Linked DNA regions of Neodiprion lecontei. The protein of the gene in region 1 interacts with the protein of each later gene in a pairwise test. Links are inferred from orthologs where the notes say so. Each region holds a gene or a part of one and is shown in the gene's direction. Other genes may lie near its edges.

The links. The genes of interacting proteins can lie anywhere in the genome.
Region 2: the proteins of pelle-like serine/threonine-protein kinase pik-1 (region 1) and embryonic polarity protein dorsal interact in a two-hybrid assay, tested with the Drosophila melanogaster proteins (2 studies listed by BioGRID). The link is inferred for Neodiprion lecontei from reciprocal best matches to the Drosophila melanogaster genes pll and dl.

The regions. Positions count from the first base shown.
Region 1 is NC_060265.1:9,923,111-9,930,654, forward strand, and holds pelle-like serine/threonine-protein kinase pik-1, read left to right. Parts: upstream 1-1,524; 5' UTR 1,525-2,264; intron 2,265-2,270; exon of another isoform or gene 2,271-2,462; intron 2,463-2,777; 5' UTR 2,778-2,808; coding exon 2,809-2,920; intron 2,921-3,112; coding exon 3,113-3,733; intron 3,734-3,934; coding exon 3,935-4,374; intron 4,375-4,728; coding exon 4,729-5,070; 3' UTR 5,071-7,419; downstream 7,420-7,544. Other genes in the region: ATP-binding cassette sub-family B member 6, read left to right, coding at 1-240, 434-591, 771-1,163. UniProt on the Drosophila melanogaster protein: Plays an essential role in the Tl receptor signaling pathway that establishes embryonic dorsoventral polarity; the signal directs import of dl into ventral and ventrolateral nuclei, thereby establishing dorsoventral polarity.
Region 2 is NC_060262.1:41,744,442-41,749,045, forward strand, and holds the start of embryonic polarity protein dorsal, read left to right. Parts: upstream 1-1,568; 5' UTR 1,569-1,893; intron 1,894-4,133; 5' UTR 4,134-4,168; coding exon 4,169-4,220; intron 4,221-4,604. Other genes in the region: uncharacterized protein LOC107224268, read right to left, coding at 1-384, 602-936. UniProt on the Drosophila melanogaster protein: Embryonic developmental transcription factor. The lateral or ventral identity of a cell depends upon the concentration of this protein in its nucleus during the blastoderm stage.

The DNA.
Region 1 (7,544 bases):
GAGGCGGAGTGGAATTTTCAAACGTGTCATTCGGATATACACCTGAAAGAGTTGTTCTACGAAATATAAGCTTTGTAGCTCCACCTGGTAAAACCATAGCATTCGTTGGACCATCTGGAGCAGGAAAATCAACAATTATGCGATTACTGTTCAGATTCTATGATGTAGAACAAGGAGCTGTTATAGTCGATGGACAAAATGTCAAAACTGTTCGACAAGATACATTGAGAAGTGCCATAGGTAACTATTTCAGACAATTCAGACGACATTTGAATTACAAACCTTCATGGAATTGTCGTGACATTACAAATTTCCAAAATTGTACTTATGTTAATACAATTATTGTAATACATTGATTATAAGATTTTCTATCTATTATTCATCATTATAAGATTTTGGGTCTGTAATCTGATTGGCGTATTTTTATATTTAGGTGTTGTGCCGCAGGACACTGTATTGTTCAATAACACTATCAAGTATAACATTCAGTATGGAAAAATTGAAGCACCAGAAGCTGATGTCATTGCAGCAGCTAAGAATGCAGATATTCATGAAAGAATTCTAAGTTTCCCTGACGCATACGAAACAATGGTTTGCTTACTTTAATGCTTGTTAACAACATTACAGAAAATGTCTTTGTATAAAATCTTTGGACTTTTTAACAAAATTTCTGTAGAATGTTTTGCTATCTAAAAAATTTTCCTTAAAATATTCGTTAAAAATCTCAGGCTTTGCTGTAAGACCAATGGGTATTTTTTATTTCGACACAGGTTGGCGAGAGAGGATTGCGATTGAGTGGCGGTGAAAAACAACGTGTTGCAATTGCTCGAACAATTTTAAAATCACCTACGATTGTTCTCCTCGATGAAGCTACCAGTGCTTTGGACACACAGACAGAGCGTACAATTCAAGCAGCATTAAATCGCGTCTGTGCAAATCGTACAACCATTATAATTGCTCATAGATTATCAACTATAATTCATGCAGACGAAATTTTAGTTTTGAAAGATGGGGAAATCATTGAAAGGGGTAAACATAACGAATTAATTTCGTACGGCGCAGTGTATCACAACATGTGGCAAGCGCAACTACAAAACAATCAAAACGGTGAAGTTGCTGTAGAAAATGGTGATATAGATGACGATGATAAAAAGGCATCCTAGATCCAATAGATCAAAATTGATGACATAACTTGTACGCATGTACATGTACTATGTGTATATTTGTACAAGTAGATAATTATGTCATGCCTATGTATACGTATTTATCTTAGAGCTTAATATAGTATACTCAAGAAACACTTTCTGATTTCTCATTTGTAGATTGTATTTTCTGTCACCTTGAGATATACATAAAACATTTGTCTACATATGTTCGTACAATATTTCCCGTTAACGACAAAAGTTTTGTTCGGGTTAAAATTTTGTGTCAAAAAATTATCCACGTGTAGATCTTTTGTTAGAGAACAGACTTTTGTTATTTGGCAGATTGAATAAGAATCGATGACGAAAACGAATACTTATGGCTTCCGGTAGCACAACAAACTACGATTTTTATCTTCCACTTTCCAAAATCTGTTTCTAATGTGCTCTTAAGTTAGTTAAATCCTATTAGAGGAAAGTGATATTTGTTCGTGATATTCATTTCTTAAAAAGCCTTTCAGAACTGATTTGAATTCAAAGTTGAATGGTGATTTTGTGATGAAATATGTTCTACAGATCACTAGATGATCTCCCTTTATTCTTCAGCTTTGATACATACAAGCCTTGGTTTGAATAGATTTTTATGAAGTTGCCAAGCAAACTGACAATATGTAAGCAGCGATTTCACGACAATCTTAATATGATCCAAGTTTGGAATATTTATGTAAGTCATTAAAAAAAACTGACTTCTGTTTTAAATGCATTGTTTTCGGTTTCTTTCGTCACACAGTCGTCTGTACAGTTGATAGATTTTCACTGAACTCTAATACTTATGCATGCATGCACAGCGTAGTTACCGGTCGGATGATCTCTGCAGGGTGCAGTTTTTCACGCGGTCGTCTATTTCCTCAAGTCTAAAAATAGCACTGTGGAAATTATGGGAAAGAACCAGTGACTTCATCATCCCCGCTTGCCTGGAAACCAGCCAATCAGGCTGCGACTTGCTAGTTGCAAAGGTCGGGGTTTTTGGAGACTGAAGACGTTCGACATTTGTATAGCAACCTGTTACGCGTGACGTCACAACTAACTGTCTTCAGTCAACGTCTAGTGTGTAATTGGAAGGTAAAAAAAATATGTTTTGACGTGAGAGTAAACCAGGATTATTTCGTTAATTCTATTAGATTAGTATGCAAGATATAATATCAGATATTAGTAAAATTTAAACACGCAATGTAAAATTAAATTTATTTTCAAACATTTAACCATATAACGAAATCCAGTCTGTCGCGCGAACTTCTAACCTATCTGACTATTTCTAGGGTAATTAACTCGCAAAACACTTTTATTTGATTCTTGTGACACTTTGTTGAGATTCTTCGCAGTTCATCGTCATGTTCGCCTACGTAATCAACGCAACTAACCCAACACAACCATCTTTTATCTTGTTTCACTTGCCATGTTATTGTTTGTAAACAATAGAAACTGGCACCAGATATTGCTCATGGCATTAACAGCACATAAGGCCTCCAAATTCCAATAATTGCCCACTGGCAACTTGTTACAAAGATGGATAGTTTCTCAATCCAAATACAATCCCTCACATTTTAATTCAATGTAATTTTCATCATGATCTAGTGCTTTTGGCTTTGTCATCGACTATCCTGAAATGGCTGTGCAGCATGGACAGACTAATCTTTATATCGATGATTTGCCTTGGCTTGAAAGAGAAGAATTATGCAGAATTCTCAATCAGAACAATGAATGGGAAGAGCTAGCAGGTAACGTTTTTACCCATAAATTTGCTATAAATCAGGACCAAGTCAGGTTTGGCTAATTTTTTATTAACAGTCGGAAGCAGCGTATCAATAAATTTAGACTCGATTTAAGATAGAACCGAACGGCTGAACTTGATACCATGTCGTACTATAAGTTAGAGTGAATAGTGAAAAACAATATTCGTCTTTCTTTAGGCAAATGGATGAAATTTGATGTATCTACTGTTCAATGTTTAAGAAAGAACGAAAATCCGACAGATAAGCTTTTGAAAATGTGGACTACTTTCAATCATACAGTACAGGAACTGTTCCTTTTATTATATAAGATGCAACACCATCAGGCAATGCTACTTCTGAAAAATTTCGTCAATCCCAAGTACAGCAAGCTTATCACCAACCGGAAAAGGCCTTCAGCACAATTATTGAATTGCCATGTAGCTGACGAACATTCAAAAGATCTGAAAATAGGAACTAACAATTTCAATCACATTCAACCAGCTTCAAGCGATGTGCAGAAGCTTTGTATTTATCAAACAATGTACGAAAGAGTGGCAAAAATGTTAGACAAGTTCCCACTGCCGAATGATCTAGATCCAAGCAATTCGGATAATATGCTTGTACCAACTGGTGTAAATCAAAATCTTGCTCCAGTTCCAAGACCTGTAGTGGATGGTTCTAAAAATAATAATCAATTGAAGATATCACTTATTGATACCGACCTACCTCAACCATCTTATGAAGAATTAGCAAAAGCTACGCATAATTGGAGCAAACACAACATACTGGGAAGAGGAGGTTTTGGAACAGTTTTTAAAGGTCAGTGTGTACCGTGTTATGCATACATAATTCAATTCAAAACAGATAATTCTTAGGTGAATGATCTCTGGACAGTTGAAAATTTTACTAGAAAATAAATTCGTATACATAGGATTCAAATCAACTTACAAAAAAGTTTTAAAAATAAATCATGTAACTAATTTGTCAACTGGTACTGACTTTAACACTTCTCAAATCTAGGTATATGGAAAGGCACCCCAGTAGCCATTAAAAAAATAGAACAACGAGGTTCTGATTCGAAGGAAAGCTACTTGATCCAGGTAGAACAGTCTTTAAGAGAATTGAAAATTTTGTACGCCCGGAGACATGACAATATCCTGCCACTGTATGGTCACAGCATAGGCGGAGAAGCCCCATGCCTAGTATATCAACTCATGCCAAATGGATCATTAGAAGATAAACTTTCCTTGAGACAAGGATCCCAACCCCTAAATTGGTTGCAACGACATAATATAGCCACGGGTACAGCTGGAGGCTTACAATACCTGCATACTATTGGCCACAAGCCACTCATCCATGGAGACATAAAAAGTGCCAACATTCTGTTAGATAAAAATTTTGAGCCCAAAATTGGTGATTTTGGATTAGCTAGAGATGGACCTGAACAGGATTACATGAAGGTAAATTTTTAGTTGAATAGATGTGTAATCATAGCGATACAATCGTCGTTAAGCTCAAGTAAAATAGTGAAAAAGGTCTTGGGGTGACATTTTTTTTTTTTGTCAAAACCTGTATTCTTGTACTGCCTATATATATATGTACACCAGAGTGAGTTTGATACTTGTGCTTGGTTCGATCATTTACCTGATGTAAATAGACATTTCGAAATAATAAACTCTACTTTGTAAAAATCCAGCCCACTAAATACATAATTGAACACAGATATGATAAAATAAAGTATTACAAAGAATTGCCCCCATTTGTTCGACTAAGTTTAACCAATTCACTAATATACAATTGTCATTGTTTTACAGGTAAGCCGAGTGCAAGGAACCAGACCATATTTGCCTGACGAATTTTTGCGCGATAGGAATTTGTCAACAAAAGTTGATACTTATAGCTATGGTATTGTATTACTAGAATTAGCTACTGGATTAGGAGCATACAGTAACGCAAGACCAGAACATAAATTCCTAAAAGCTTATGTGGACAGTTTCGAAGAAAAGGACATACGTCTATTAAAAGACAGTACCGCTGGTACAGAAAAAGATAAAGTTTTCGATAATCTAATAGTTTTAGGAAAATGGTGCGCAAACACATTGCCTAAAGATCGGCCGCAAATGGTTGATGTTCACCGCAAGCTTGAAAGATTATAATGTTTCCCAAAGCACGAAAACGAGTCCTGTATTTCATTTACTGACGCTACGAAAGCTGTTGATAACGCAGAATAGGATTTTTTCCTGTATGCTAGAGTTTGAAAGTAATAACCAACAATAACAAACGTGACTGTCGATTTAAAAGTGTCTCTTACTATGAGAACTTTATATAAAGGCAACACATTAGCAAGGCACGTCAAATTTTTTAACCAGAATTCCGACGAGACTGTCAAGATGTAACTAAATATACCAATATGTTTTGGTATCAAGTTGCTAACGTTCCTAGGTTAAGAAGAATAAAATATAAAACTCACGAGAATTCACAGTGAACTTAACTAGATCGACGAGGTAAATTTCAAATAAGCGTATTGTAACACCGATTGTGTATGATTTTGTTTCAAGATGTATGTATTAATTCAACTAAAATAAAAATACTCAGGAAAAACTGCACAGTTTCATGACAAACTAAATTCTGGTACTGATAAATATCTTGATTTTATAAATATAAATGTCATCGATACTTGAAGAACTATGGACAATCATCATGCTGATATCGTTACACAAAAAAAGTTGAAAATACAGGTCTGGACTGGCAAAACGACTAACACTACTATTCTACTTCACTGTAATTACATTTAATTTGAATCTTCACTGCCATATCGAATAGAAGATTTTAAAAATATTTTATAAAAAGCTGAAAAAGAAGTAGCTTGTTACTATTGAAAGTCTGGAAAAAAAGGCCAGTAAAAGTACGTTGAATTTCTGTTAGAATACACAATATTGCCTGTTGTTTTCAGTTGACTTTCTAACAATGTTTTAATATACGAGTTATGTTAATGTGTTTTCATTATATACAGCAAAAAGTAAAGAGGAACAACGTACAAAAATTTCAATCTCAATTATCCACACTGTCACGTATGCACGAATGCTCATCGTAACAGTGTCAACGCAAGTGAATTTTTTATACACCAATCACCGGATAGATGAACATCTTTGGTAATAACAAATATGTAATTTTGATACTAGGAAAGACTCGATTTCATTTTATCCGATAATCCAAACTAGGTAATGGGAACAGTGTTATACATACATTGACACTCAGCTGTTGCCATGACAAGTAGAGGGACCCGTACTTATTTAATCTTGCAGAGCCAGATAGTGGGATCATCCGTGACCTTGTGTCCATTCACAGTGCATATATCTTCAATCAAGTCACATTGACCTATATGAGATCCTGCATAATTATCCGGTGTTGACCATTACTATGAGCGCTATTAGCTGGACAGAACTCCCGTCCAAGGTCACAATACAGTGAACATTTTGAAATACATCGTAAGACCCGCTACAAATAATATATTTTTTACATCCATACAATATTCTTTCTGTTTCTTCTCTTTTCACATCTTATGCGATAATTAATAATTATTATTTATGAATACGTAGTTACACGTGAAATTTGAATAGCTTAAAGCCCACCTATTTTTGATTTGTAAAAACAACCGAACGTGTAAACAGATAATCATTTAGCACTATATTTTGTATTTTCTTCTATTTGTAATTAGTTTATGCTTCTCGTTTTTGTAGAAATCTAAAGTGCAGAGTACGATATGTACTAACAGTAAGCTCAGCCTGCACGTATACATGTAATACATAGGGAAACACATTGAATGAGTTAAACTATTTTACACGCTATATAATAATATATGTATAATAATATACCACAGGAGTAGCCAAATGTCTAATCATCTTTGTTGGTTGTTTAAAATATACAATTGTATGCGCGTAGCCTGCTTTTCTTAGACAAAGTATACGCTGTAAGTATACAACAATTAGATTCGTTTTCAACAAACTAAAATATAACATATCGCATTGCACAATACATCATTAACATTACTAATAATAATAGTAATAATATAATACATATATTATATCATTCGCTTAAGCCTAAGGATTTTGTATAATATATTTATATTTATATAAATCAGTTATCATGTGTGCACAAGCAATTTAGGATATCCACATTCCAATTTTTGTATACATGGATTAGTATCTAAAAGCGTACATTAACGCTATAAAAGATATCGTACTCACAATTATAATTCAATATTTATACACATGAATAGGTGAATTTCTCACAACTTTAGGCAGGGTTAATGCACCAAAAGCAAAGGGCCACATATCTGATAATGTATTGAAACTCAATTGTTACTTGTTACTCGAATAATTACTGTAGATAGTACTGCGCCTCAATATGTTGGTATTTTTATTGATGTTTGAATGACATTAGAACGCAAGAAACTACGTTCATTTCTAACTTTGAATTATAAATCAATCTATCTTTTACTTTGTTTGCGCAATAAAAATGTATTTACCTGTTTTCGGTTCAAAATTAAAAATCACTTATTGCAATTCCAACGGATGCCACAGTTTTTTGTCTTCGTGTTTATTTTTTGTTCCATTATAACGCTGATGAA
Region 2 (4,604 bases), on another chromosome or scaffold:
TGGACTCGAACACGCTGCATCTCAGCCATAAATCTTCCGACACGACCATTTTCGGCATCCAAAAGTCGTCGCAGCACGACGATCTGGATGTGAAGATGGTCGACCTGCTGGCTAAGCTGGCGAATCGTTTCATGCAGTTGCAAATTCTCCTCACGTCTACGACGCCAGGCGTTTACAACCAAAGCGCGACAGACGAGACCCGCTGCCTTGTTCGTATCCGGTGGAGCCGAGAGTCCGTTGACATCCAAATCTCCCGGCCATGATCCCATCCCTCTTTCACTCCCAGTTTCAGCCCCATCAACGCATGGTACCTCAGAGCTTGTCGAATCAGTTGCAGCTACTTTCCGTTGCAGACGTGACTGCAAAGAAGTGGCACTCCCAGACCTGACCAAAGTAAAAAATCACAATAAATTTATAGCGCCGTTTGAATGTTCAAATTTAGAAAATGATGAACATCGCGCAGAAATAATTTTTTTCAATACAGGCATTGCTGATTTCGATTTCAAGATTATTGCCCGAGTCAAACTTTCAACTTGATCACTTGAACTTCCAAATCTTGTAACGATTATTTTATAAACATTTTGACCAGCTCATTCTTTACCTTAGGTCAAGAACATCCGGATTGATGGACGTGGGTGACAGATCGACCATAGAAAAGCTCTTCTTACAAGAAGACTTTGGGGTATTCGGTATGATGCATGCTGTCTTTGAGTTGTTTGAGCTAAAGACGGCAGTCTTCTTGGTAATGTTGCCTTGTATTGATACCGGGATGTTGCGGTAGGAATTAATGGGGTTTCTAATCGGTCCGGAAACGGGTCCCCGTCGGGGACCTCTTACGTATGAGGGAGGCGGGGGATAATGAATGTTTCTTTGGCCTCTCAACGAGTACCCACCATACCTTTGGCGATTATTCGCCCATGACGATTGACTCAGCATCTTACCAAATTTCAAAGACAGTTAAAATTATATTTGCTAAAACTGTTGCTGATTGTTTATTATTTATTATTTTGCCAAGGGGATGGATAAAAACAACTCACTACTTAACAAATGAAAGATGCGTCCGAAAATATTTTCACACTCTTACTGGTTTCGGCATGATTCCCGCTTTCATATCTCGAACCTACACGTTTCCTTACCTCGCTACTATTTGCGGAATGTCAAATTTTTCGAGCCTGCCATCATTTTCAAACTCTTTAGCCGTTCGCTGGAGTATATAATTAGCTACGATCGCAGAGCGAACTAGATTCGGGATCGTGAAAAAATGTTGGTCTACTTTAAACGTGTGATTGTGGTATATTTTTCCATTTAGATAACAGTTTTCAAGATCATTTTTAAGAATACACATAAAAAAAATTCCGGAAACTGAGTAGCAAACTTGACGGGCAAATACTTTGATACGTATGACACGAAAGATGTATTATTTCATACAAAATAAACGAAAATTGCGTCGAACAGAAATTCGAAAGTTTGAATGAAACGGCGCGAGTCGGCCATGTTTGTCACGAGGCGCGCAGTATATCGTAGCATAAGCTGCGCGAGGTTAGTATGGTCACGTGACACGTTTCAGCCAATGGTGAGAAGTTCGATTCGCTTCCCCGAAAAATGTTGTCATCTTTGCCAAAAATAATTTTCCTTCGCTATTTGTGACGAAGGGGGTTGGTGTCGAGTGCTCGAGCGTGAAAGTTTACCTCCGGATAAAATCGGTACGGTGTTAGTACCCTGAAATAAGGTGGCAATGTGATATCTGAGCAGCGTGCTCTGTCAAGTGGTAATATTTTACACATAAAACCAGTTGTTCCCGGGTAAGGCCTTGACAGGAGTCAGTACGGAACAACTTTCCTCGTCGCGCACCATCTCCGTCGATCTCAGTACCATAACATGGGCCTCGAACAGGCGAGTATCACATTGTCCTACGATAGTTTAATTATAGCTGGGGAGACCTAGGCTCTCCAAAAATAATGATTCGATCAGCGTTGCGCCTCCCAAACTCCCGGAATCGCCCGGAATACAGTAACCAAGTCAGAACCACCTCGACAATCTTTTCACTATTCCAGAACTCCGTTTCTCATCCGTAAAAAATTTATAGACCAAAACTGTTTCTCTTTTTTTTTTTTAACTTAAAGGTTATTTTCGAACAGCTGTTCAATTACTAATTTCTCCCCATTGCAGTGTCATCCTTTACCTCGTTCCATTCCATCTCCAAGTCCTGCGACAACCTCCGCCACGCATTGTCTTAATCTCTCTACCTCGCTCTGTTTTTCCTTCTTGGTTTATCTCTGATGTGTGATAAACCATTCCTCTAGTTCACCTCAAGCTGCCGTACTCTTTCCTCATAGCCACGCTGCCAAGTTAGACACTCTTTCTAGATTTAGGCTAGTAGCATAGATTGGCTCGACTTGATATAAATCATAAAAACTCACTAGTGTAAAATTTTCATTGAAGTAGGACAAAGTAGCGCCATTTCATTCAGTTTTATTTCTCGTAGTAATACTACGTACAACATAGGCATTAGAATTTCTTTCACATAAAATTTGACCGACACAAAAATATAGATTACTAGAAACGGTGCTGTTATTACCAGCATGAAGCGTGGCCTCGGTTCAAACCGGAATCGGTTCAATGAATCGAGAAATATATATTTCCATTATAAATTTCGTAACTCTTATTATATATTTAGACTTCTTTGGTGGTTGGAGGATAAGATCCTCGATTCTGTTTATTATACTTAAACAATAATGGTAATAATCGATTTCCCTGTAAATCAAACTCGATCTGTTCCATCGCTCTTACAGCGTTATTTCCAGAGTTCAGGAAAGCAAATTATGATTACACACCTACATGAGATGTATTTTCTCTCGTTCTCATTCTTGCTTCTTCAATGAAACAACGATGGTGATTGGCATTTAAAATCATTTCGATCTCACAAAAATATAAAAAATACAGAAAAATGGTAATTTCTGCATCAACAGCTGGTAAATTTTGAAACAGTATCTCACATTGCGTTCACGCTTTAACAGTTCAATACTTTCTCCGCACATCGCCCATTTATAATTCAACGTCTTTTTGGCATAAGCGCCTAGACGTCTGGGACATTCAGCACGAGACATATCCGTCACCTCTCGGATATCTTTGTAGAAAGTTTTGATAAATATTTCATTACTGTATCTTTATAAATGTCAAGTCCGTGAAGAATTGTTCTCTCTCTTAACACAGGTGACAAAAGAATTGCAGTGTAAGAAGATAAAAATAGATCGTATGGAAACACTGAATTTTTAAAGTGTTCAGATAAGAAGAATTAATTCTTCGGCATTTTTTAAAACATTGCCTGGGTGGTAAATAAAAATTCGAAAAAAGACAGATATATTTTGCGGAGTGTCTTGTCGAGATGCCACTACTCTACCTTGAGTTTAAACGATACCACTTTGTACACACCATAAACTTAAAGATTTTTTTGTAAAGACGTGGCAAAACATTCAAATCGTTTCACATGCAGCACTACACTTGTAGTATATGCGTACAATTATATGTAATAAGAGTATATAAGAGCGGTAAATAAGGAGTGAGGTTCGACCCCGGCGCTCAGTATTAGCAGCAAGAATAAAGCCTTTGAACTCTAAATATGTCTCTAGCTGTTCTTCCCTCGATACATCACACATTAGGGACTATACATAATTTTCTTTTCAAAATTTTGACCATTCGAAGCAATTTTTGAAGAACCTTTGAGAAATTATTGGTGACAAAAGATTAAAAACAATTTGTCCAATATTTTATATTTTTTTAACACATCTGTATCTCTTGCGACATCTATTGAATGAAAAAATTTTCATCTATCACAATCGATGATAGAGTAATGAATTTATCAATGAAATTATAGAAATATTTGATAGCAAATTACTCGATGATCCTTACATAATTACCTGTGAAACGTGTTTAGTACAAAAATGTAATTTTCTGAGGAATATCGACATACAAAGTTAAAGGAACATCCGTAAAGTGACTGATCTGTCTTGCATGGAATGAACGACACGCATGAAAAATTTTACCTCCTACTTTTATTCCATGCATTTGCTTCCTCCAATCTGTAACCAAACATTTTTTGTTGCTAATGAAGACGCAATTTATTCTTGTTTCAGATGCCAATAAAACTGACTATCAACTAGCTAAAGGTATGGAACAGACCCATGGAGTTTCGGATGGAAATATAAACATAAGTGATGTCAGTGAGTATAGATATGCTGTTTTCTTTGAAGTTAAACCATATAAGAGTAAAAAAATCTGCTTAGCATTGAGAATATAAATTTCAAAGACAGTTGAAAAGTAATAATGAGATTTACATGCCAGGGAATACAATATAGGTTTATTAGGCAAACCGGACTATTCCTTACTACATAGTTTGATATTACAGTGATATTACTACAGCTCAGTCTAGATCTACTCTCAGCTCCGTTGATGCTACACTGGCAAAGTTCAGTCTAAAAGCGAAGCATAATCAACTAGCTATATATTGATTATTTTTCAATAAAGAATAGGCAGCATGAAATACAGCTAGTGATCACAGAGTTGAATTTTACCGAAACATGTCCGAGGTCCATGTCCGCATTAAA